Drosophila melanogaster: one gene and its partner. The protein of the gene in region 1 purifies or fractionates together with the protein of each later gene. This does not show direct contact. Each region holds a gene or a part of one and is shown in the gene's direction. Other genes may lie near its edges. The genes, in order: HDAC6 and Ufm1.

Region 1 (18,976 bases):
AAATAACTTTGTTTTGTTTTTGAAATTGGGAAAATACTATGGTGAACCCAAGTTGTTCAGTTTACATTTCCCGTTGCTCAAACTTATTTACCAATTATTATATCATGGTCAAATATTCTTAGAACGAACGGATGACTTAATTAATGATAATAATAATTTTGAATCAAATTTAAAGCGCTAACGGTTCGGCGAAGTGATATCGATAACACGCGCGGCGTTGCCACCTCACGCCACACAATTTGACTTTTGCGCTAACGGAAGAGGAAGAGATCGCGAGAAACGACGCGTTTAAAAGAGACTGAAATTAATTCGAGAATCAAGGGAAATATATAACAATAAACGCCTGACAAAATGCTGAGATCGTCGGTGCCCGTGCAGCTGACAAAACTGCGAAATAGCGCCGAGGCCGTGGCGTCCATTGCCCGCGAAAAGGGATCCCAAGGTGGCCAAGGACAAAAGCAACAGGTGGACAAAGAGCTATCCACCATCATGGATGACTTGCAGCGGGATTACGGGAATTACAAGTACACGGTATACCGGTGCGCCAGTAAATTTGTGGCGCTGCAAAAGATATTTCACAGTGAGTCAGTCGCGTAGGTGGTCCATTCGAAGGAGTCCCCAAGGATTAACCTTCAAATTGCAGCTGGAAAAATCCCCTACAAGCTGGTTTTGGCCATTTTGGATCGCCATAACTTGAGTGGTGGCCTGGAACTGATGGTTCCTCCATTCCAGTTGACCTCCCTGCTGCACGATGTATACTTTGCCTGCGAGAAACTAGGCCATTTCAACCAGGATGCGAACTATAAACTGGACAGGGCAACCGGGCTGTTGGCCAACTTCTTCTGGAATGTCTACGATCCGTGGGTTGAGTTTCTGGCATCTTAAGAATATGTCTGATATTTGATTGGTTTCGCTAGGCAACGCAGACACTCCATATCCCTGTTAGAGATCAGGATCACCTTCATACTGCTGTGCAAGCTATATAGCAGCGATCACCTGGTGGGCGACATCTTTGGCCTGCTGGCCGATCCCAAGTCGCAGATCATCTCCAGATATGCATTCGAACAGCTCCTAGCCACGCTGAGCAAGTTACTCAGCTATTTGGGCGAGGCCAAGGCCTATGGCGTCCACAATCTTCCGTTGGCTATGGAGCAGTGCTTTGCCCGCTGTCCGCATGGCGTTGGTGGACTGACCGAGCCGCAGTTCCACAAACTCTGGACGGGAGCGGGTGTCCAGACGAGATTCCTGATCTATGGCAATCTGCTGGCACTGGTGAAACGCATCGAGGACACCGAGCATTTGATTCACAGTAATTCTTGTGCCGGCTGCCGCAAGGAGCACATTGTGGGCATACGTTTCCGGTGTCAGGTGTGTAGGGATATATCGTTGTGCCTGCCCTGCTTTGCAGTGGGCTTCGCTGGTGGTCGCCACGAGCCGGGTCATCGGATGTGCGAGGTCTTCGTGGAGGATCAGCCGCCATTGCGTTGGACCCGCCACCTGGCCAGGCTGTGCGGCTGGCTGGTGATGCCGCGCAAAACACAGGAGGAGGAGCGTCGCGGCTTCTGTAATGCGCAGGAGAGTGGGCCCGCCTTGGGTCAATCCGCTGCCACGCCCATTCCCGCAGAGACGCGCAGTGTGCGCAGTCAGTGCCAGGAGAAGGACCGCACAGTTGTCCTGCAGCAACAGCAGCAGGAGCTCTGCTCCCTGACGGGTCTAGCCAGCGAGGCGTCCAGCAGGCTGCAGTCCATCATCGATCGATTGCTTTTGCAAAATGCGTGGGTGTTTTCCCTTCTTTCGCCACACTTGTTAGCCAAGCCTTAAGGTTCTCTTGCATTTCAGGAAGCTGGAAACCCAGCTGCAAACAGTGGCCACCGCATCTAGTTCGGAAATATCGCAGTTTCTGAGCGCCCATCAGTGCTTTCTGCTGCAGATTATCGAGGATATGCGACAGCTATCAGTGAGTTTTCCAAACATTCGGCCCATTTAAGCTGAGCTAACTCCATTTATATACACTTGCAGCATGCCTCAGCGGTAACTTCGCCGCCACCTGCGCCAGCTGCCCAAGTGGCGCCTTCAGCTGCGCCCCTAGTCAGCTCCACGTTCCTTAGCTCCAGCACGCCTCAGCGACAGATGCTATTCGACATGTATGCGCCCGTGGGTGCCAATCTCACGCACTCCAGTAAGAAGAGAACCTTCAACAGAGCCATGAGACAGCTCCACTAAGTTAATCGTTTCTTGTAGTAAATGGCGCCGACTTGAATCGCAGCTATCTGGAGGCAAACAAATCGGATTACTCGCTCAACGACATAAGCTTGTGGTTCGACCAGCGTCGCTCGAGTGTCCAGCCAGGACAAGGACCTGGTTCCCTGCCGGCTCCTCTGCCGCTGCCCATGCCGCTGGGTGCTCTACTGGAACAGCAGCCGGCAAACGGCGGAGATGGCCGCGACACCGAGATGGTGAACTTTAAGCTGCTGCTGCACAAGGTCAAGGAGATCGTCGAGGACTCGTACAGCGATAATGCCGAACTGTCGGCGGCCACGCAAAATCTGGAGAACGTTCTCGATAGCATCATCAAGAGCGAGGAGCAGCAGCGGCGCATCAGCACGTGAGGATCCGGATCGGATACCAACTCCCATCGATTCCAGCCAGACCAAGTCCACTTAGCTTTAAGTTGTAAAGTTGTTCTAAAGTAATCGTGACAAAATGACACAACCGAGTCATGCATTTATTATATCCTTCTTCCTTTTCCCATGTGCTTTAACATTCGCGTAAATGCTTTAATTTGTAAACTTACAACTCTGACAAGAATGCAATACAACAAAATGTTTTTATAAAAATATACAATGCAAAAAACACATTGTTAACAAAGCATTTACATACAAAATATCAACTTTGTAGATTTTCCAATGCAAAGAGAAGAAAAAAAAAACGCATTTACGCCCCATTGTCATCATCATCATCGGTGAATAGCATAGAAGCCAACACATCGCTGGCCATTTGTGCCTTGTGGAGCTGCGTCAGCTGCTCCCGGCGCTGCTCCACACTGGCTGCCGGCTCACTCAAAACCTTCCAGGCGTCCATCTCCTCGAACAGACTGTTTAGCAACTCCATCTCCATGTCGGCAGGCGACATGTTGTGCTCAGCGACCTCTAGCACATTGAGGTTGCAGTGCAGCTGGAGGAGATCGCGCGTCAGGCGATGCAGTAGCAGACGCAATCGATCGTCCGTTCTGGCGTACACATGCCAATGCTTTCCGGGATCGTCGCGAAGCAGCAAGGTGTCACACCACTGTGACTGCGGCTGGCGATTGTAGAAAATACGCTGGACAGGATCGGCGGCGATGTTGGAAGACTGAAAGTGAGACCCAGGCTCACTGTCGTCCAGCAAGTCGGAAGCTGTAAGGGATTATGAGTTAAAAGGGACAACAAGTGGTCTTGACAAAGCTACTCACTCGGCTCCTTGTTTGCTTCCTGGGCTTGGATCAACTGAAACTGCAGCGTGGAGACGAGTAGCTGCTCGAATGTCGTGCAATCCTGGGCCGACTGGAACTCCAATTTCAGGGAGCAACGTGCCGTGTGCGTCATAATAACGGCCAAAAAGTCTTGGTGCAGCGTGGCGGGCGAAAATGTGGGTGCCAACGATTCTGTTTTATCGAGCAGTTTCTTCACATCGAAGGTAATGAGATGGATTTGCCTAGGGGATGCATCCTCGCCCATCTCGTACGTTGCCATCAATATGAGTTTCTCTGCCTCAAGAAGATCGACCAGACGCAGGCTCACTACCATCGCGGCAGATCGTTCCGGCGGTAGTATTCTTTCCTTCTCCACCGGTCGCCATTTGAGACGCCTGCTATGCTGATCCTGGCAGGCCCAAAACTGCGCCAGCTGGTCGTAGTCCTCGGGTGGTTGGCCATCCGCCTGCAGAGGCAGCTCGTACAGGCGGTGCTCCACGCTAAAGTCGGTGTGTGGTTCGATTACAACAATCGGATACAACTCCTTGACTATGGTGAGGCGATTGGTGCCAGTTATGTTGACTAGCAGAGTGCCACAAACAAAATAATCGCCGCAGATCCGAGTCCATACATCGCCGAGTCGTCGGAGCGGCTGCTTCTCCTCAAGGAGCAGCGAACGCTGGCCCGGCGTGCCGAAGTATAGAAGGTCTTGGACGTGGGCTAATTCCTTCTGGTTTTGCATTCGCTGGCTGTCGAGCTCGGCTTGGGCGCGGTGCACCTCCTGCAGCAGGTTCTCGAAATCCTTCGCGGGCAAGCCCGCATTTTTGGACGTGCTGGGCTCCTCATTTAAGAAATCCTCCTGGAAATCACAACGCTGACGCTTGCCATTGCCGAACTCCAGTTCCACAACGGCCTGGAAGGAAATGGGACCTTCGACCATCTGGTAGTCCACCACATCCTTGTGATCCGCCACCAGTTCGAAGTTGGCCCCGTGATCCTTGGGCCTCTTTAGGACGACGAGATGCTTCCAGCACTGAATTAACAGGTAGATGCCCTCCCGTTGCCACACAAACTTTCCAAATTTGAGGGGCAAATCCTCCGGCGGATCCAGCATGCTCCAGTCCACCTTTTCGTCAGTGGGTTCCTGCTTGGACAGAAAGGGACAAACCGGTCCGTCGTAGGCCTCCAGTTGGGTGGCTATTTGCTTTAGTTTCGTGACCTTCAAATCGATGTAGTGCACCAGATCCTTGCGCCGGAATTCGTAGAACTTTAGGTTTCTCGCTAAAACCAATGTAGTGGGGTCATCCCGCGGTCGGCCCACGTGAAGATTGGCGCAGAAGGCCAACCGGGCCGGCTGGAGCAGCATCTCCGGCACATTCTCCTGGACAAACGGCAGCATGGATGCGGAAGCCACAAGATGGATGTGGCGCCCTTGACTCGAAAGCCCTTCGAATCGATAGCTATTGAATTCAAGTAGTAGTTATCGATGCGGTGAACGATATTAGGCTATTTTGAAATGGAAAAACCAATATTAATCGAGTTTCGAATGCTCCTTTTAGCGAGAGGTAAGTCTTTAACACCGCATAAACACAATCAGTGTTGCCTAACCAATCTGTGCCCTCCACTTTCTCTCATAATCAAGCAATTTCTCATAAAAAACGCACATCGATAAGCTGATAACGTTGGCCCTCGACTAACACCGATTATTCAACAAGTTGTGTCAATCGGCGGAGCAGCTGATCGTTGTAAGTAGCAAGAAGAAGACGCCACACAAACATTGCACTCCGCTCCGCCCGCGCGTTCTCATTTCCCATCTCTCTCACTCTGTCTCTCGCGCTCACCGTCTCTCTCTCTCGCTCCGCCTCGCAACCCCCACAGCGCTCCACAAACCGGGCCCCACATTCTTGTGTGTGATTTCTGGTTCAGGTTCTGATTTCCCGCGTGTCCTTGTGTGTGTGCGCGCTGCAGTGTCTGTGTATCTGTTACTGTTGCTGCATCTTCTGCATCAACTGCAACGTTACCAAAAATCAAAAGACAATCGCCTGCAAAAGCTTAATTTTGTTGCTCAGTGTTTTAAGTATTAGCTGTTTGCAAGCAGCACACACACGTAAGAAACAACAAGAACAACGATAAAAGACAACAACACAAATGCAGAGCATTTGAAGCGCAAACACACACAAGCATTCGGTGCGGCTGTAAGAGCGAGACACAAAATAAGGCTAATTTATAAAAGAAAAGTGTGCTGCAAGGAATCGATAAATAACGGGAGTCGAGGAGCGGAATAGGAGTAACCAATAAATATAAATACTGTAAATGCGATATTAAAAAGCGACAACAACAACAAAAAGCAGCTGTGAATCACTCCGTCCCGCTCCCCCGCGCTTTCAGTCACTCCAGTTGCTCCACTTCCATATATATTCGGATTTGGACTCCGATTCGGATACGGATTTCGCTTGGTTCGATTCTGTTTTCTTCGGATCGGTTTAGCTTTGCTTGCCAACTCGAAATCCCACAAACATGGTGAGTACTGGCAGATTATTGCCGCCGTTTTCGAGTTGTTTTGGCCAAAAGCGGCAGTGGCAACCAAACAGCAACACCCACACACCACACACACACGTACAGTGCAAGCTTCTTGGCCAGGTTTTGAGCTCCTCCATCGCCGCAGTTCCAATCCGAACTTCGTGGTAAACAGTTGTCCGCTGAAAACGCAGTGCAGCCTCCGCGTGAAGAACGCTCTGAATATACGGTTTCAAAGTCCTAAGAGGTTGTTTATATGAGTCTAAGTACAGCTACAAGATATATTTAAGCTATGCTTTTCGAAACTATCGTGTAGTTGTTCCAAATACAGTGAAACCTCAATGTTCGGTTTTTGAAGTTAAAAAGAAATATAAACATATATTTGAAGTTTACAAACTGTACAGTATTAATTTGAGCAATAAACCCAACAGTCCAGATTTGAAGTTTTTTTGACATGTTTCAAATTTTTAATATTCTAGCATAGTGTAACGTAAAACATGATTAAATGTTTAGCAACAGCAAAAAAACTACATTTTTGCAAATAGTAAACAAAATTTTAAGCAGTTAACCGAAAAAGTTACAGACCATAGATGTTACGCGATATTTGGATACAGGTTTTAATCCAGATTAGTTGCAATCCAGATTCCTAAAGTCCTATGTCAATCGCCGTAATCTTCGATTGAAAAAGGCCGAGAGTTGCTTTTTTATGTGGTAACATTGGTAAAATCTTTCATGCCATTCCACATATGGTTGTTTGGAAAGGGTTAGGTAACTGGATTCTTGAGCACTTGTCTCACCCCAGTGGGCAATCAAATTCGCCTGTGGGAGCAGCACTGGCGATCCATCTGTGCATGAATCCCCGCCAGAAGCTGCGTTGTGTGTCTACCTAGCGGGAAATGCTTACTAAAGATTTAAATTCGTTTTCGCAGAGCCCGCCCATCGTCACGCGACGGAGTGCGCAGCAGGCAAAGATTCAGACACGGGCAATGGCCAGTAAATCGAAGACGGGCACGACAGGGGCGGCGACGGCGGCCGGCGGCACCGGCAGCAGCAGCGGCAGTATCAGCGGCGGATTTAATGCCGCCGATCCGCGAAAGTCGAACAAACCGAACGCAGCGCTCTTGGAGGCGAAACGTCGAGCTCGGAACAACATGCTCAAGAATCAGGGCTGCGGATCGCAGGAGAGCGTCACGGATATATTCCAGAATGTGAGTGCTATCTGACTGACCTCTATCCTCTGTCCTTGTGCAATCCTAACCAAGTGATATTTAATCGTCGCCGACGAAAAGGCTGTCAACAGCAAGAGTCTGGTGCGGAAACCAACGGCACTGATCTACGATGAGTCCATGAGCCAGCACTGTTGCCTGTGGGACAAGGAGCACTACGAGTGTCCCGAGCGCTTCACACGAGTCCTGGAACGGTGAGTATATTTGAAGAAAACGGTACAAATTAAGCTGATATGTATTCCCTAATCTCCTCATCCAGCTGTCGCGAACTAAATCTGACGGAGCGCTGCCTGGAGTTGCCCTCGAGATCGGCGACCAAGGATGAAATTCTGCGCCTGCACACAGAGGAGCACTTCGAGCGGCTGAAGGAGACGTCCGGGATTCGCGATGACGAGCGCATGGAGGAGCTGAGCTCCCGCTACGATTCAATTTACATTCATCCGGTGAGCAAGCGCATCCAACGGGGAACATGGAACAGTGCATCCCAGTGCCTGGCTCCAAATTAGCTCATTTTATTGTATTTGCACTTGATTGCTTGCGGAGATTGCGTTGTTTTTAATTCGACGGCTTGATAAATGCAAATTGGAGCAGATTAGATTAGATGCGACCCATTGCACAGGTACAGTGCGGTGCATAAATGTAAATGGTTGAGTGACTGGCATAAATTATGCAAATGATTATACCTCCGAACTTAAAATGCATTTATTCCCCGATTGTAATTCTAATATGTCTATTCTTGTTGTGATATTCATTATCTTTATATTGCGTGCAATCTTTATTTAGTTTGCTCAAACTTTAGTTATTAATTATTACGACTGCCCGCAGCTTTTATTACTTTATATTTCATTAGCTAAATCCTCCAGCAATCTGAAGCGCACTGTAAATTCGTTAAAATGGGCTGGTACTCATACTATTACATCCTAGATAAGATTCCCGCTGTTTTACTAGCACCGAACTTGTTATATATAGAACACTGATAACCTTATCCGCCTCCCACCCGCAGTCCACATTCGAGCTCTCCCTGCTGGCCAGCGGCTCCACCATCGAATTGGTGGACCATCTGGTCGCCGGAAAGGCGCAGAATGGCATGGCCATCATCCGGCCACCGGGTCACCATGCGATGAAGGCCGAGTACAACGGTTATTGCTTCTTCAACAACGTGGCACTGGCCACCCAGCACGCCCTCGATGTTCACAAGCTGCAGCGCATCCTGATCATCGACTACGATGTGCATCATGGGCAGGGAACCCAGCGGTTCTTCTACAACGATCCCAGGTAAAGTTGGCAATATATGTTTAGTATTCTCATTCATCGTGTGTGTGTTTCAGGGTGGTTTACTTCTCCATCCATCGCTTCGAGCACGGAAGCTTCTGGCCGCATCTGCACGAGTCGGATTACCACGCCATTGGATCGGGAGCGGGCACGGGATACAACTTCAATGTGCCGTTGAATGCGACGGGTATGACCAATGGCGATTACCTGGCCATTTTCCAGCAGCTGCTGCTGCCGGTGGCCCTGGAATTCCAGCCGGAGCTGATCATCGTTTCGGCTGGCTATGATGCGGCGCTGGGCTGTCCGGAGGGTGAGATGGAGGTGACGCCGGCCTGCTATCCGCACCTGCTGAATCCGCTGCTGCGACTGGCCGATGCCCGGGTGGCCGTCGTTCTGGAGGGCGGCTACTGCCTGGACTCGCTGGCCGAGGGTGCGGCCCTAACCCTGCGCTCCCTGCTCGGCGATCCTTGTCCGCCGCTGGTGGAGACAGTGCCACTGCCGCGTGCGGAACTCGCCCAGGCCCTGCTCAGCTGCATTGCCGTGCACCGACCCCACTGGCGATGTCTGCAGCTCCAGCAGACCTACGATTGCGTCGAATTGCAGGATCGGGATAAGGAAGAGGATCTGCACACGGTACTGCGCCATTGGATTGGTGGACCACCGCCTATGGATCGTTACCCTACGCGCGATACGGCCATTCCGCTGCCGCCGGAAAAGCTGACCAGCAATGCCGCTCGTCTGCAGGTGCTGCGCGCGGAGACGAAGCTATCGGTGCCGTCGTTTAAGGTGTGTTATGCCTACGATGCCCAAATGCTTCTGCACTGCAATCTCAATGATACGGGGCATCCGGAGCAGCCGTCGCGCATCCAGCACATCCACAAGATGCACGACGACTACGGTCTGCTGAAGCAGATGAAGCAACTGTCCCCCAGGGCGGCCACCACAGACGAGGTGTGCCTGGCCCACACTCGCGCCCATGTGAATACAGTGCGTCGATTGCTGGGCCGCGAGCCGAAGGAACTGCATGACGCTGCTGGGATCTACAACTCGGTGTATCTGCATCCGCGCACCTTCGATTGCGCCACCCTGGCCGCCGGTTTAGTGCTGCAGGCGGTGGACAGTGTGCTGCGTGGCGAGTCCCGCAGCGGCATCTGCAACGTCCGTCCGCCGGGCCATCATGCCGAGCAGGATCATCCGCACGGCTTCTGCATTTTCAACAATGTGGCCATTGCGGCGCAGTATGCCATTCGGGATTTCGGTCTGGAGCGTGTGCTGATCGTCGACTGGGACGTCCATCACGGCAATGGGACGCAGCACATTTTCGAGTCCAATCCCAAGGTGCTCTACATCAGCTTACATCGCTACGAGCACGGCTCCTTCTTCCCGAAGGGACCCGATGGCAATTTCGATGTGGTGGGCAAGGGAGCCGGCAGGGGCTTCAATGTGAACATACCCTGGAACAAGGTGGGTTTTTGCACACTTACGGGCCCAACTCATTCCACTCACTTTGCAGAAGGGCATGGGTGACCTGGAGTACGCACTGGCCTTCCAGCAGCTGATCATGCCCATTGCGTACGAGTTCAATCCGCAGCTGGTGTTGGTATCCGCCGGATTCGATGCTGCCATCGGCGATCCCTTGGGCGGATGCAAGGTGACGGCCGAGGGCTACGGCATGCTCACCCACTGGCTGTCGGCTTTGGCCAGCGGCCGGATAATCGTTTGCCTGGAAGGTGGCTACAATGTGAACTCCATTTCGTACGCGATGACCATGTGCACCAAGACGCTGCTGGGTGATCCCGTGCCGACGCCCCAGCTGGGAGCCACGGCGCTGCAGAAGCCACCAACGGTGGCCTTCCAGAGCTGTGTGGAATCGCTGCAGCAGTGCCTGCAGGTGCAGCGCAACCACTGGCGCTCGCTGGAGTTCGTCGGACGGCGGCTGCCGCGGGATCCCGTTGTGGGCGAGAACAACAACGAGGATTTTCTTACCGCCTCCTTGCGACACTTGAATATCTCAAATGACGATGCTACGGCTGCGGCGGGCGGACTCGCCGGCGATCGTCCCGACTGCGGCGATGAGCGGCCCAGCGGGAGCAAGCCCAAAGTCAAGGTAAAAACGCTCAGCGACTACTTGGCGGAGAACAAGGAGGTACGAGGACAGCACTGCGCTTATCCCTCAGCTGGCAACTAATCGCTTCTTTTCGTGCCTTTCTTCATCTCGATCCCATGCCCTGCAATCTCTGCCCCTCGATCCCGTTCCCGATCCCCATTCGCGTGTCAGGCCCTCGAGCAGAGTGAGATGTTCGCCGTGTATCCGCTCAAGACGTGTCCGCACTTGAGGCTCCTACGTCCGGAGGAGGCGCCCCGATGTAAGCCAATGCAGTCCGGAGAAGATTCCCTCCCCTTTTGGTCAAGATAATAGCACTTCTTAAGTGTGAACAAGTTGTCAAGAAAAATTCAGTTATTGAATCTCTTTGTATCTTTGTATTTGTATGCTGTGACCCATAAAAATAATTGGAAAAATGGTTTTATGACTCAAGTTAAGTCTTCAATAACGTATTTAACATTTTATATAAATGGGGAAGTTGTTTGAAATGCATATAGTGAAATACCCTATAAATCTGAAAAAATCGGGAAATACTTTACAGGAAGTGCTATTATTTTGACCAATTTTAAGGACTCTTCTTTCTTATAATGTTCATCGTTTTCTTTGCTTTTTGTGCTTAAAATTAGCAATTGGCTATTTTTCTAAATTACTTATAACTGCTTAATGGTTTATGTGCATATGGCATGCAATCTTTTTGTGCTTGGCGGCTGTTTTTTCTTTCAGTATCCTTGCGTTTATTGCATTTTTTGAAAAGGTTTTTTGCTTCAATCCTTACGTTTTAGCAATGTAACTTTGGGTTTTAACCAAAAATCTGCCGTGTGATTTGCTTTTATCTAACTTTATCTTAGTTTAAAACTTTAGAACATTTGATATATCGCCTGCATGTGAACAGCTTCTTGAGCTATACGCTACTCAATCCTGACACAACTAACATACTTTCTCAACGATTTCCCATCCAAATCAGCACTAGACAGCGGAGCGGAGTGCAGCGTTTGCGGATCGACGGGGGAGAACTGGGTGTGCCTGAGCTGCAGGCATGTGGCCTGCGGTCGCTATGTGAACGCCCACATGGAGCAGCATTCAGTGGAGGAGCAGCATCCGCTGGCGATGAGCACGGCTGACCTGTCTGTGTGGTGCTACGCGTGCTCCGCGTACGTGGACCATCCCCGCCTGTATGCCTACCTCAATCCGCTGCACGAGGACAAGTTCCAGGAACCGATGGCCTGGACACATGGGTGTGCGTGGCGCGAGGATGGCTGCTATGCGACGGGGCCCGATGGGCGAGATGAGGATGACGATGATGATAATGGCGCCGGTAGCAGCATTTGCCTGCGACTGGAGCGCAACAACTGACCCTTAGCCATCCGCGTGCTGGACGCCCTCACGGACTACTTGTGCGCGCTCTGCCCGCCACTAAGGCACCTAATCCATTTCCTGGCCGAGCACCTCTGGCCGCTGCTGGAGCGCATTTACCTTAACCTGTTGCACTACTTCCTGGCCCACTGAGCACCCCATATCCAATCCTCTAGCCCGCACCCACAACTGATCTGAAAACTGCTGCAACTGGCAGCCGGTCGGTCATCCCCTGGAGATCCTGGCACCAGTCACCATACCATTTATACAAATGCAAATTGTTAAAGTTATCAACTAATGATCTAATAAATAATTCAAGTGTTTTTTGAGTTTATTTTCGAATACAGTTTCTAGTTTCGTTAATGAGATCGAACTTCTTAAGTTCAGAGGTATTTATTCATAATTCTGTTCATCCCAGCCAAATCGACAGTTCATCCACGGTTTTATTTAATCTATATTTCTAGATTAACTCAATATTTGTTGAGTCATAACGTTGGCTACTAAAAATTACTTCTTTTTCTGCTGCTTTGCCTTCCCCTTAGAAGCTGGAGTGGGTTGCTGCTCGCGCTTCATTGGCTTCCTCTTCCGGTGGCCGTGATCACTGGAGACATCGCTGTCGCTGTCGGAGAAGTCGTCGTTCTCCTTGTCTTCCGATGAGTTGCTTTCTTCTGAGGATTCCTCGTCTTTCTTGTTCTTCTTCTTTTCCTTCTTCTTCTCGGCATCCAGTTTCTTATCCTGCTCGTACTCGATGGTCACGAATCCCCGAGGTGCTGCCGGCTTGGCACTTTGGTCAGACTCCACTTTCGCCTTTGGTTTCTCCTCCACTTTGGTGCGTTGTTCCACCGGTCGGACGTTGCCGAACTGGCGGAGATCCAGCAGGCCCAAGTCGGTGGGTCGGCAGTCCATGAAGCTGCGGGCAATCTCCTCCAGCTTGCGCGTTTCCATGTCGATCTTCCAGACTTTGATTTGACCAGCGCTGGAAAAGATAAATTTGTATATATAAAAACGAATAATGTGATGGGTGTTCTTAGTTATCTGGGTGTAGCTTGGATTTTTATAGAATAACTCACATGGAGACGGTGGCCAGGAATTCGTTCAGATAGGCGATGGCCTTGACCCTTACCTCGTGTGCAAGAATGAAGGTGGGCTGCAAAGAAAGCGCATTTAAGTATCATAGATAACAGGCTGAGAAAGTGCAATTCTTACTGGTGTATCATCCTCGTCCTTGAGGGAAATCCAGGCAATGTTGCCGTTGTCCAGGCCAGTTAAACACTCGTTCCCATCCAGCCAGGTGATGCAAATGGGTTTCGACGGCATCTCAATGCGACGCATAACATGGGCGTTCTCGATGCCCCAGATCTCCAGAACCAATGGACCGCTCAGTGTGAAGTGATCGCCCTGCTTGGACCACGACAAACAGCCCGTTTGGAAATCCAGCGTAGCCTTGTTCTTTAAATTGGTCTTGTGGGCGACGCAGCCATTGACCAGATTCCAGGTGTTCAGCACCTGGTCGCCGCCCAAAGATAAGGCCAACTTGCTGCTGGGATGGCAACTGACATGGGTGACGGCCTGGCCGGCATGGGCCTTCTGCCAATCATACTCTTTGGTCCAGCTGCCCACGCGTGTGGCGATCATATGGCCATCATCGCTCCCGGAGAGCAAGAGCGACAGGTCAGGCGTGAATTTCAGTGTGTTCACTCTTCCGGCGTGCGAGAGTATGATCTGCGACTGTTTCCGCGTGCGCATGTCGTAGACGAAGATCCTGCCGTCGGTACCGCCACTGGCCACCCAAGGCCACTGCACGGCCAGCGATGTAATGGATCTTGCATAGGAGCTGTCTGCAAAAGTCTGTTTCAGCTCGAATTTGACGGAATCGGTGAAGCCGTCAGTCGGCGATTTGATGAGCTTGAAGCCCAGCAGGAGCTCCTCGTTGGTGGCCTCTATGATCTCCATTTCCGGCGGCATGGCAGCGGTTTGAAATGAAAATGGAAATGGAAAATTAAATGGATTTGTCGAATAAGTCACTAAATTCTATTCAAGAATTTATTTCTGCTGTCAAAACGTGTTCCAGCGGCAAGGACTATTCGAAGTTAGAGGCGGAGAAACTTTTTACGCCAACATCGATGACATCGATGTTTTCGAAATATCAGAAACATCGATGTTTTTCTAGGAATGTTAAGAACAATTGCTGGAGGATGAAAAGGTTGTCACCAAATACTGCCTTTTTATTTAAAATATTAAAAAATAATCCTTAAATAAAAAAGATCAATGATCGAAAAAGATTAAAGATAAAAAAGATTGTTTATATTTTATAACAACATCTATGTTTTTCGCCAAAAACATCGAAACATATAAATAATTTGAAAAATGGTTTTATGTCTCATGTTATATATTCAATATCGTATTTACTATTTTATTTAAACGGGAAAGTTGTTTGAAATGCAAATAGTGAAATACCCTATAAATCTGAAAAAAATCAGGAAATACTTTACAGGAAGTGCTATTATTTTGACCAATTTGCTTAATGATTTATGTGCATTTAGTATCTTGTGTTTATTGAGTTTTTTGAAAAGTATTTTTATTGAATCCTTACTGAATTGAAATCCATGCGAAAATTACGTTTTAGCAATGTATCTTCGGGTTTTAACCAAAAATCTGCCGTGTGATTTGCTTTTATCTAACTTTATCTTAGTTCAAAACAGTAGAACATTTAATATATTACCAGCACCAGTCACCCTACCATTTACACAAATGCAAATTGTTTAACAATTTCAACTAATGATCTAATAATTAATTTAAGTGTTTTTTTTAGTTTTTTTTTTCAAAAACAGTTTCTAGTTTCGTTAATGAGATCGAACTTCTTAAGTTCAGAGGTATTTATTCATAATTCTGTTCATCCCAGCCAAATCGACAGTTCATCTATGGTTTTTTTATCTATATCTCTAGATTAACTCAATATTTATTGATAGTCATAACGTTAGCTACTAAAAACTACTTCTTTTTCTGCTGCTTTGCCTTCCCCTTGGAGGCTGGAGTGGGTTGCTGCTTGCGCTTCATTGGCTTCCTCTTCCGGTGGCCGTGATCACTGGAGACATCGCTGTCGCTGTCGGAGAAGTCGTCGCTCTCCTTTTCTTCCGATGAGTTGCTTTCTTCTGAGGATTCCTCGGCTTTCTGTTGCGCCTTCTTTGCCTGTATCTTGTTCTTCTTCCCCTTTCCCTTCTTCTTCTCGGCATCCAGATTCTTATCCTGCTCGTACTCGATGGTCACGAATCCCCGAGGTGCTGCAGGCTTGGCACTTTGGTCAGACTCCACTTTCGCCTTTGGTTTCTCCTCCACTTTAATGCGTTGTTCCACCGGTTGGACATTGCCGAACTGGCGGAGATCCAGCAGGCCCAAGTCGGTGGGTCGGCAGTCCATGAAGCTGCTGGCAATCTCCTCCAGCTTGCGCGTTTCCATGTCGATCTTCCAGACTTTGATTTCACCAGCGCTGGAAAAGATAAATTTGTATATATAAAAACGAATAATGTGATGGGTGTTCTTAGTTATCTGGGTGTAGCTTGGATTTTTATAGAATAACTCACCTGGAGACGGTGGCCAGTAATTCGTTCAGATAGGCGATGGCCTTGACCCTTGCCTCGTGTGCAAGAATGAAGGTGGGCTGCAAAGAAAGCGCATTTAAGTATCATAGATAACAGGCTGAGAAAGTGCAATTCTTACTGGTGTATCATCCTCGTCCTTGAGGGAAATCCAGGCAATGTTGCCGTTGTCCAGGCCAGTTAAACACTCGTTCCCATCCAGCCAGGTGATGCAAATGGGTTTCGCCGGCATCTCAATGCGACGCATAACATGAGCGTTCTCGATGCCCCAGATCTCCAGAACCAATGGACCGCTAAGTGTGAAGTGATCGCCCTGCTTGGACCACGACAAGCAGCCCGGTTGGAGACCCAGCGTAGCCTTGTTCTTTAAATTGGTCTTGTAGGCGACGCGGCCATTGACCAGATTCCAGGTGTTCAGCACCTGGTCGCCGCCCAAAGATAAGGCCAACTTGCTGCTGGGATGGCAACTGATGTGGGTGACGGCCTGTCCGGCATGGGCCTTCTGCCAATCACCCTCTTTGGTCCAGCTGCCCACGCGTGTGGCGATCATATGGCCATCGTCGCTCCCGGAGAGCAAGTGCGACAGGTCAGGTGTGAATTTCAGTGTGTTCACTCTTCCGGCGTGCGAGAGTATGATCTGCGACTGTTTCCGCGTGCGCATGTCGTAGACGAAGATCCTGTCGTCGGTACCGCCACTGGCCACCCAAGGCCACTGCACGGCCACCGATGTAATGGATCCTGCATGGGAGCTGTCTGCAAAAGTCTGTTTCAGCTCAAATTTGACGGAATCGGTCAAGCCGTCAGTCGGCGATTTGATGAGCTTGAAGCCCAGCAGGACCTCCTCGTAGGTGCCCACTATGATCTCCATTTCCGGCGGCATGGCAGCGGTTTGAAATGAAAATGGAAATGGAAAATTAAATGGATTTGTCGAATAAGTCACTAAATTCTATTCAAGAATTTGTTTCTGCTGGCAAAACGTGTTCCAACGACAACGACTATTCAAAGTTAGAGGCGGAAAAACATTTTAGGCCAACATCGATGTCTTCGAAATATCAGAAACATCGATGTTTTCGGTGAATCAGCGATGTTTTTTCATCTCTATTGCTCATCGGAGAATAAAAGCGTATAAATTGTAAGTATAAATTAATTTTTATATATTCTAATACAATTATTAATGGCGTATTGCAAATTTAATGTGACTTGTTGGCTGGCGTCGTGGCTGTATAAATGTATTAGTCTCGTTCACTTTTCCATTGAATTGCATTATTTGGTATGATTTCCAATATGTATGTTTATATATGTTTTCTAAGAACAATTACTGGACCAGCGAAAAATGGGAAGGTGGACACCAAACGCAGCATACTGCAATATTAAAAAAGAAAATTATCTTTTAATCCTTAAAATATCCTTAGATAAAAATAGATTAAAGATAAAAAAGATAGTTTATATTTTATAACAACAACGATGTTTCTCGCCAAAAACATCGAAAACATCGATGTTCGCCAACAGTCTGCTTGCAGTCACTAGCAGTGACGGACCGCACCGTAACAGAGCTGTTAATGCTGTAATCGATAACTTTGATTGGCACTTGTGCGATATCTGACGTTTAATAAGTAGTATTTTGTGATATGTTGCGAATGAAAATTCGCTAATATCTGTATAAAAACAATTGCATTCTACTGCGCGCCGTGTCCGGGTAACTAAGGGCAGTGGGAATCGCGCATAGCCAGCACCGACCGTCATTTGGAGGCGTTGCATCGTCAAACCGGCGAACAGAAATCCAAAGAAAGCGCCATGTCGAAAAGTTCCGGGTAAGTTTTGCCTCATCAAATTGTTTGAAAACAGATATACTAATTGCTTTATTTTCCCGCAAAAGGCGCGATCGAGACAGGGAGCGCGACCGGGAGAGAGAGAGGGAGCGCGACCGTGAGAGAGAGCGCGACAGGGATCGTGAGCGGGACAACCGGCACGACAGTCGCAGTCGCGACTATGATATGGGCAAGTCCAGGAACGGTGGAGGCGGCGGAGCCGGTGGTGGCTCCCGGAACATGCGCGAAGACCGGAAGCGCGGAAAGGACATGATCAGCGATCGTGGAAAACGCGACGATAAGCGGAGGAAGTGCTCCAGGTCAAAGGATTACGAGAAGGACAAGTGAGCATGCGTTTTTCTCTACAAAAATACTGCCTTCAATGTGTGTCTGTGATTGAATAGGTTAAAATACTTCAAAATGTCGAAGGTTAATGTTAACACATTTATAAATGATTGGGTTATGTGTGAAAACGTCACGTTTTCAACCATATGAGATCCAATTTGGTGTGTCTGCTTTTATTTGCTTAAAAGTTAAAATGGTTCCCAAATATTTAATTATCCTCATCCCAAACTTCCTTAGGGAATTTCATTTTAAACTGCTGAAAGATTCCATGTGGAATGGATTGAAAGAAGGCTAACTTGGACATGCATCCTCTAAAGACAAACTTTTTTTTAGTTCGCCCCACTACAGGCGTCTGGACAAGGATCGTGACCGTGATCGGGATCGCGATCGGCAGCGAGAGAAGGAACGAGAGCGCGAGAAGGAAAAGGAGCGCGAGAAGGAAAAGGAGCGCGAGCGGGACAAGGATCGGGAGCGAGATCGCCAGCGAGAAAAGGAATCCGATAGCAGACGAGCGGCCGCAGCTGCTCCGCTGATTATACCATTGCTCTCGACCAGCTGCTCCGAAGAGGAGGTGGAGGAGATCGACAAGGAGGAGCAGCAGCGTCGTCTGGAGCAAGAGATGATTAAGCGGCGCGAGCGAATCGAACGTTGGCGCGCGGAACGCAAGCGGGACACTAAGGCGGCTGTCGTGGCGCCGTCGCTGGTCAATTCCGCAAAGAAATGGAGTCTGGAGGACGAGTCTGAGGAGGACGACAGCAATCCCGCTCCGCCGCTGGACAGTGGGAAAAAGGACGCCGAACCGGACTCGCCGCCTTCAAAATTCCACAGCATACGCAAGCGCTTCGACGATGACGTGGTCGAGTCGAAGTTCTCGCCCGTTAAGCGTCCCACCTTTAGCAAATCATTTGGCAAATTGGGCATTGGCCTGGCCACCAAAGCCGAGGCGGATATCAAGAAGGAGCCACCGCCGGTGGACACCAAAAAGGAGATCAAAAAGAAGCCCGAACCAGTAGCGGCCAAAATGGAGATCGTTGAAGAGCCCACCGTCGCAGCAGGGGAGAAGACCAAGAAGGAGCCGGAACAGCCGCATGTGGGTGCTAAATCGGAGCCGGAAGTGGAAGACAAGCCGCAACCCGAAGCCGAGCCAGAAGACGAAATCGATCCACTGGATGCCTACATGCAGGAGGTCAACAACGAGATGCGGCGTGTGAACAATTTTGTCAATCCACCCGCCAAATCGCAGGGTGTCGTGATCCTCACGGGAGTGGCCAAAAAGAAGACGACGACGTTGAAGAAGGGCGAGG
Region 2 (6,576 bases), on another chromosome or scaffold:
GTATCCTATTTCAGCTTGGATTATAATACACAAAAGACCATCTTAGAGAAACCTCACTTTCCCTGCAATTTGGACAGAAAGTCCATAAGAAACTGATGCCTACTACGTAGTTCTTCTATACTGCGATTCTTTAGCTTGGCGCGCATACGCCGAATGAGCTGCTCTCGATCCCGTGCCCCTATTTTCATTTCGATCAGGATTACTTTGTCCTCTTCACGAGTCCAAGGTGCCGAGTGGGAACTACCAGACTCAGAGTGCGATGTGGTGGCAGGTAATGCCGCTGCCGATTCCGATCTATCTTCGGTGGTGGTGCAGTTCGCCAGCGTGGCCACAACATCCAGCTTGCAGTCCTCATCGCTATCGAATTGTGTTGTGATCACGTGCTGTGGTGTGTTGCCAGCACTTAATTGCAGTGGCTCCAGCTCCTCCTCCGATTGATCTGTGTCCATTTTGAGATTTGTACAGAAAGGCATATTCTCGGCACTTTCATCCAGGCTGACTACCTCGACTTTCGTAATAGCTTCAGAGCTGCATTGGTTTGGAGGTTGCTGCTTGGCTTGCGCAATAATTCGAATGCCCGCCTTTGTATCTGCTGCATCCCGCACGCTCTCCTGATCGATCAGCGTGCGCAAGCGCTTTGCACACTCAATGGCTGGCGAAGATGAAGGCTGAGACTCATGGATAACAACCATTGGCTGATTATTGGCACGTTGTCTGCTCTGAGTTTGATTAAGAGGAGATCGGATCTTCTTAGTAGGTGACTTTCGTTTGTCGACTTGAGGGGAACTGTTGGGGGCCGCCGATAAGGGACTCAATCCCGAGTTGTTAAATGCCGATTGCTTGCGTGGGGATATTTCACCAAAGTTTATGGCAGTTTTTTTGGCGTGCGGATGATGGGATTGGTGAGAGTTGCCCAGATTGGGCGTACTGGTCGCTGCATTGTTAAAGCTTGAGTTGGTATACAAGCCGGGATTCAATCTGATTGCATGTGCTCTTAAGCCTGTCTCATCGCACATCTCAATAGATGAGCAGCTGTTCTGCTCATCACTCGTGGTATCAATAATCAAGGCGCGGCTGGCATCATCTTCCTCACTCCGATCCGCGCCATCGTCGCTATCTGTATTGGAAGCCATACTAAGAAGTTTTTCTCCCTGGGCACGAATACCATGGGCGCAGTTTATCGAGTCACTGGAGACGGGTGGCACGTCATGAGATTGTTCATTGTAAATACTGGCAGCCATAAAAGACAGTTTGGCAGGCAATAGGATCTTGGCTCCATAAAATATGCGACCATTGATATACTTTAAGTGACAACCTGGTTTACTTGGCGTAGGTACATCTGTAAACTCTTGAATAGTTTCCGTATATTCTCCCGTTGTATTGTTTTGAACGTCATGCAAATTTATGGTCTCTACAGGAGAAAGGATTCTGGAAATAAAAGACAATGTTACATTAAATCAATCTCGAGTATTTTGTTTACCATTCTTACCTTTTTGGTGGTTTTCCCTGTGGGAATTGTTGCACAAACCAATCGATCAGAAATTGATTGCCCTTGAGCAAGGGCATTATCTTATTTTCAACTTTTTTCATGCTGACATTAGGCATTTCGGCCAACTCGTTTAGACAGGCATAAATCTTCCTGATTTGAGCTGGCTGCTTACTGAAGTAAATGTTAAGTTTGTTGATAAAGTTGGTAGCATTGCATATCATAAAGTGCTCAAAGAATTTTCCCATCTCAGCGGCCTCGGCAGGTAGCAAAAAGTTGAGGAATACTTCAGCCAGTTCGGGATGAGTGGGTAGCAAAATTTCTTCCACTTTCTAAGAACCCCAAAAAAAAATTAGAATGCAATAAGAGTAAGACACTTAAGTGATACATACCAAATACAAAGATGAAACTTTCTCCTGCCTGGGGTCGAAGTTTTGCAAAATACTGTTGAATTTTTTGCAATCATCTAGGCGATTGGCACTCAGCAAGGCCTCCTCTACCTTTTCATAAAAATTCATGGCAAAAACTGAACGTGCAAAATAATAAAATTATTCAAGTTGAATTTCATTAAATGGGATTGAACTAAAACTTACTGGCATCTTTGCGATTGCGCTCTTCTGTAGTATCCGGCTGGAGCATTTGGCGAAGCATCTCCTCCTGCCGGTTGGCTCTTCTCAGCTTCGCCGCCTCATCATCACTCCTAGATCTCTTTGGCTGCGCTGCCGTTTTAGAGTTTGTATTGCTGCAGAACATCCTCAGATCGACCAGAAGTTGAGTGTACAGTTCGAGGGCGAAAAAACGATTGTGCACGACCTGTACCAACTCGCAGTCTTTATATTTTTCGATGTGATGACGCAGGTAGGATTCATAGGTGGTGATTAGGGAATGACAGCGCTGGCTTAGTTTATGGCGCAAACGTTCGCGCAATATATGGTATCGACTGCGGGTTGGTGTTGACCCTTTTCGCGATTTATTGGCGGATTGAACCTTTGGCTTAAAGATTTGGTATCGCGCCCTTTTGGCGTTTCTGCCTGGGACGGAAGGGGTATCCTGCGCAGGCAACAGATCCGGCTGTACGGCCTTGCTGGATTCCTCCAATTCGCAGATTTGTAGTGTGTTAGTGAACTTGTCTACTGTGAAGTTGATGGCTGGCGGAGCATTTTCATCCAATGGTGGAGGAGCAGGCGGCAAGGCCAGCAGACTACTGCACTCGGCGGCGGTGTATAAGCTGCGATTGATGTTCAGTACGTTCTCGGCCAGATTTCCGCCGGCCACCAAGGGCACCGAAACCCCAGAGACCCCGGGTATGTTTCCCGCGCTCGTATTCCCGCCAAAAACATAATTCACATTGATGGTAAGCTGTGGTGGGTTTTCCGCAGGGCGGGGTCTCCTTTGCGCTGGCCTTTTCTTCGGTTTGCTCTCCTTGGGCGGTTCCGAACCAGCAGCACTGCCATTGGGGACCGCAGCCTGACCAAAAGTCTCTGGCAGCAGCAGGTCCTCGCCGACCGCCTCGCGTACAAACTCCAAATAAGAAGCACTAGCCACCGACGATGCTTTCGATGCTTTAAAATTGCGACGTGTGCGCTTTTGATCCCAAGTTTTCTGAAAAATAATAGATTGAAAATTGTCCGCGATTTATAAACACAGCGATGGCACAAGCTATGTATATTGATATCGATAACTTTGGTCGATGGTACCTAGCCACCGATGACCAGTGATTTATTTCGTAAAATAATTCTGCCAACAATCACTAGCAAGTATATTACTTAAAATTTAAGAGAAAAATTAATAAAGTTCTAAACATGTATTCCTAATTAGGTACGGACATAGGTACATTTATGCAAATATTACTCATCACAGACGATAACTCGCTGCCTTGCCTATCGTAATATTGACCGCACTAAAGTAAGAGCGTCAACATATTTTATTGTTTTTAAATAAAATACCCCTTAAAACTATTTTCAAACCAACTAATTTATACTTGTTTAAACTTTAACCACCAGGGCTCAAACACTCTGCCTGTGGAAAACATCGGAAACCCGTTTATTCCCATAGAGTATCAAAACTGACCACGTCTGCACATTCCACTATGAGCAAAGTAACCTTCAAAATCACGCTAACTTCGGACCCCAAGCTGCCCTTTAAGGTGCTTAGTGTTCCGGAGGGAACTCCCTTTACGGCTGTGCTGAAATTCGCCTCTGAAGAGTTCAAGGTTCCGGCGGAGACGAGTGCCATCATCACGGACGATGGAATTGGCATCAGCCCACAGCAGACTGCTGGTAATGTGTTCCTAAAGCACGGATCCGAGCTGCGCCTCATACCCAGAGATCGAGTGGGCCACCAACTAAGCTAGTTTTCCTAATCCCATCTTATTTACCCTTTGAGATTTTCCCCCTTTTTGATGCTTATTAAATGTTAAACAATGTATCCGATAATAACCCATTGTATTCCTTACCTCAATGTAGTATTGCCAGCCACTGGGAAGCTCCATGTGTCGTTCCCGCGGAGTTCTCACCAGCCCACCAGCGAATCCCCAAAGGATGGCGTTAGCGGGCGGTGCTCGACGATGTTCAAAGAAATACTTCACTGGATTGTACTGTTTTGAGTTGCGTAGCTCCGCGATTTTCAAGAAAATTCGGCGGGCAGTCTTTCCACAAATCGTATCCTTAATCATTCGCTTACAGGCAACGCGAATGGGATCTGCACCTTTGCGTAGTTGTCTCTTGGCTTTTACCATTAATGCCAAGTGCTTCTCTAGGCCAATGGCAATAAGCTGATATTCGGATGGTGCGTAAGCGGTGGTTTGAGTCAGTTTCGGTTGAAACGCCATACGGGGTAGGTACTGCGGATACATAAACACCCGGCTATCCAGCATGAGATCCATAATACGAGGCGCCAGCCTGGGAACCTGGCGCGTGTGGCCATCACTAAAATAGTAAATACAAGTTGTACAGCAGCATGTTTTGTTTAAAGTTTCACCAACTTACGTCAGATCCGTTTCCTTATTGATGAAGTCCATCATCTTCTCGTTCTCCTCCTTAAACTCATCACTGGACAGATCATGTTCCCATTTTCTAACCAGCTGAACAGCCTCCTGCAGATTCCAGCAATTAAAACTGGGATCTTTAGTTGCCATTTTGTGCAATTCTTCCAACATTTCTCTGGGCTTCTTGGCCATGGGGTACAACGTAGGATGGGAGTAGGTTTGCAGATAGCTTTGACTGAGCAACTGCGTGTGAATGCGAAGCTGCTGCTGAAGCATATCATGCTGAGACTGGGTAAATCCCCTGCTCCTGGCGAGATGATTGAGGTTTACTGGCTCTACGTTTCGCAGGCTCTCAAACTTTTCCTCATACTCCGAATATATATGTTTCCTAACCGAGATGTATTCCCAGGTGAAGTTCGTATCAAATGGTTTTTTATATCGATCTCCATTGCTTGCAGCTACCACGGGGGGTTCCATTGGATGCAAGCTAGAAAAGTTCTGCAGTGTCTCTTCAGTTAATGGAAGACCAACAGTTGAATCATTGCCTACAACTTTGGCGATTTGGAAGCAATTAGGTTGCCCAGGTATTGGAACAGCTATTAGTTCGGGGGGAACAGTCAGCGCCTCGGAAGGTATGTTTACCACATTGCAAGCGGATCCACCAGTTTCCTCCTGCAGCACAGCCACAGGGACAGGCACACCCATGCCCATTTCGTTCCCTTCGCAAGGAGGCGGCATTAGATTAGGTTGAAAAACGGACAGCTCCTGCTGATTAGCATTTATCTGCTGGCCATCAAAATCGATGTTACGGGACACTTGATCAATGGGAATCATCGAAACGTTGGCACTTTCAACGAATTTTTGAGGTGTTTCCAATTCAATCGATTCCAGAGAGACTCCTTCTTCCAGCAAACCAGCAAACAGCTCAGAGACCAGGTCAGTTAACTCTTTTTTAGATATATTTACATCGCGCAGCTCCTCGGCGTTCTCATATTCCGATTCCAAGTGATCAGCGGCCACATATTCTGGATCGTTAATAGGATCATCATCGTCGCCCTGGACCGTATTGTCTGTAAGATATTAAAGTTAGGGAGAGCATAAAAGCATCCATTGATACTACATACTTAAAGGCTTTGTAAAGTCATTGAGGAACTGCATCCAATCCGCATCGTTGGCGGTCATTTCGTTCTCCACCACATCGCTAGGCTCCACGTCCGGCGGGACAAATTCCGACTGCAAATCCTCAATGGTAGTTTGCTGCAAACAAAATTTGGAGCGCGTTCTAGTGGCAATCCTAAGATCCTCTTTATCCTGAAAATTTCTGTCCAACGGCACCTTGAAACAACCGTCATCAGAGAATTTGATAGGAGATTCCTCATTGGCAGTAAGAGGAGTTTGAGGCGTGCAGGGATTGGAGTCGAAATCCGATGCTGTAGTGTTAGGATCATCATCGGACTGATAATAAAGGAATAATAACAATTATTGAACAACGATCAATTGGCCTCAATGTTTATACTCACATGAAAGTCCTCCTCCTTGAAGGTATACTCCTCGTCCTCCTCATCAGAGTGCAAATCCTCACGTATTAGAGCCTCTATACCATTATTGTCGGTGGAAGTTTCATTGAGCTGGGGCAGCGAGATCCCAGGCGTGCAGTTCAGTTCCCGTGCTTTCGCTCGCGTTAGCTTGGGCACAGATGGAGTGTCCGTTATGATGATGGCACCCCGCTTTTGCTGCTCCGCCGACTCCAACTTCTCCCGCGCCAGCTCGTCCTCCGCCTTCAAAGTGACTAATGCCAGAACATGATCGTTGCGCACCACCTTCCGGACCACCTTTTGCATGTCCTCGGCACTGATGGAGTTCTTCTTGGCCACTTTCCGTAGCCGGCGATCGATCTCCTTGGCATCCTCATCGACCTGCGAGTCCAGGCTCTGGCGATCCACTCGTTTGCGCTTTCGCGGTCTTCGTGGCGTCGAGCTATTGCTCTTTGCAGAGTCCGACTTCTTTGCACTGCTCGGCATTGCGACACTTCATTTATGAGTGAAATTTTAGCTTAAATTCAACCCAACTGCCAAATAAAAGCGGCAGTTTATTTAGGAAATGC

Evidence for each region.
Region 2: the proteins of HDAC6 (region 1) and Ufm1 purify together in Drosophila melanogaster (affinity purification with mass spectrometry, with the first as the bait; one large-scale study listed by BioGRID). This does not show direct contact.

Annotation. Positions count from the first base shown.
Region 1 is NC_004354.4:15,328,093-15,347,068, forward strand, and holds HDAC6 (histone deacetylase 6), read left to right. Parts: upstream 1-6,385; 5' UTR 6,386-6,558; coding exon of another isoform or gene 6,559-6,582; 5' UTR 6,583-6,864; coding exon 6,865-7,176; exon of another isoform or gene 7,177-7,257; coding exon 7,258-7,388; exon of another isoform or gene 7,389-7,453; coding exon 7,454-7,637; exon of another isoform or gene 7,638-7,879; intron 7,880-8,197; coding exon 8,198-8,469; intron 8,470-8,522; coding exon 8,523-9,930; intron 9,931-9,979; coding exon 9,980-10,612; intron 10,613-10,744; coding exon 10,745-10,832; coding exon of another isoform or gene 10,833-10,882; exon of another isoform or gene 10,883-11,000; intron 11,001-11,534; coding exon 11,535-11,923; coding exon of another isoform or gene 11,924-12,076; 3' UTR 12,077-12,268; downstream 12,269-18,976. Other genes in the region: dah (discontinuous actin hexagon), read left to right, coding at 352-580, 644-860, 918-1,775, 1,840-1,957, 2,020-2,179, 2,242-2,609; CG9114 (uncharacterized protein), read right to left, coding at 2,935-3,395, 3,452-4,850; CG9123 (uncharacterized protein), read right to left, coding at 12,431-12,899, 12,994-13,070, 13,130-13,888; CG12608 (uncharacterized protein), read right to left, coding at 14,915-15,410, 15,505-15,581, 15,641-16,399; Prp5 (pre-mRNA processing factor 5), read left to right, coding at 17,314-17,330, 17,396-17,671, 18,006-18,976.
Region 2 is NT_033778.4:16,948,663-16,955,238, forward strand, and holds Ufm1 (Ubiquitin-fold modifier 1), read left to right. Parts: upstream 1-3,174; 5' UTR 3,175-3,391; intron 3,392-3,489; 5' UTR 3,490-3,575; coding exon 3,576-3,839; 3' UTR 3,840-3,919; downstream 3,920-6,576. Other genes in the region: mute (muscle wasted), read right to left, coding at 54-1,428, 1,490-1,818, 1,879-2,012, 2,080-3,088, 3,942-4,413, 4,474-5,542, 5,597-5,927, 5,993-6,493. UniProt on the Drosophila melanogaster protein: Ubiquitin-like modifier which can be covalently attached via an isopeptide bond to substrate proteins as a monomer or a lysine-linked polymer.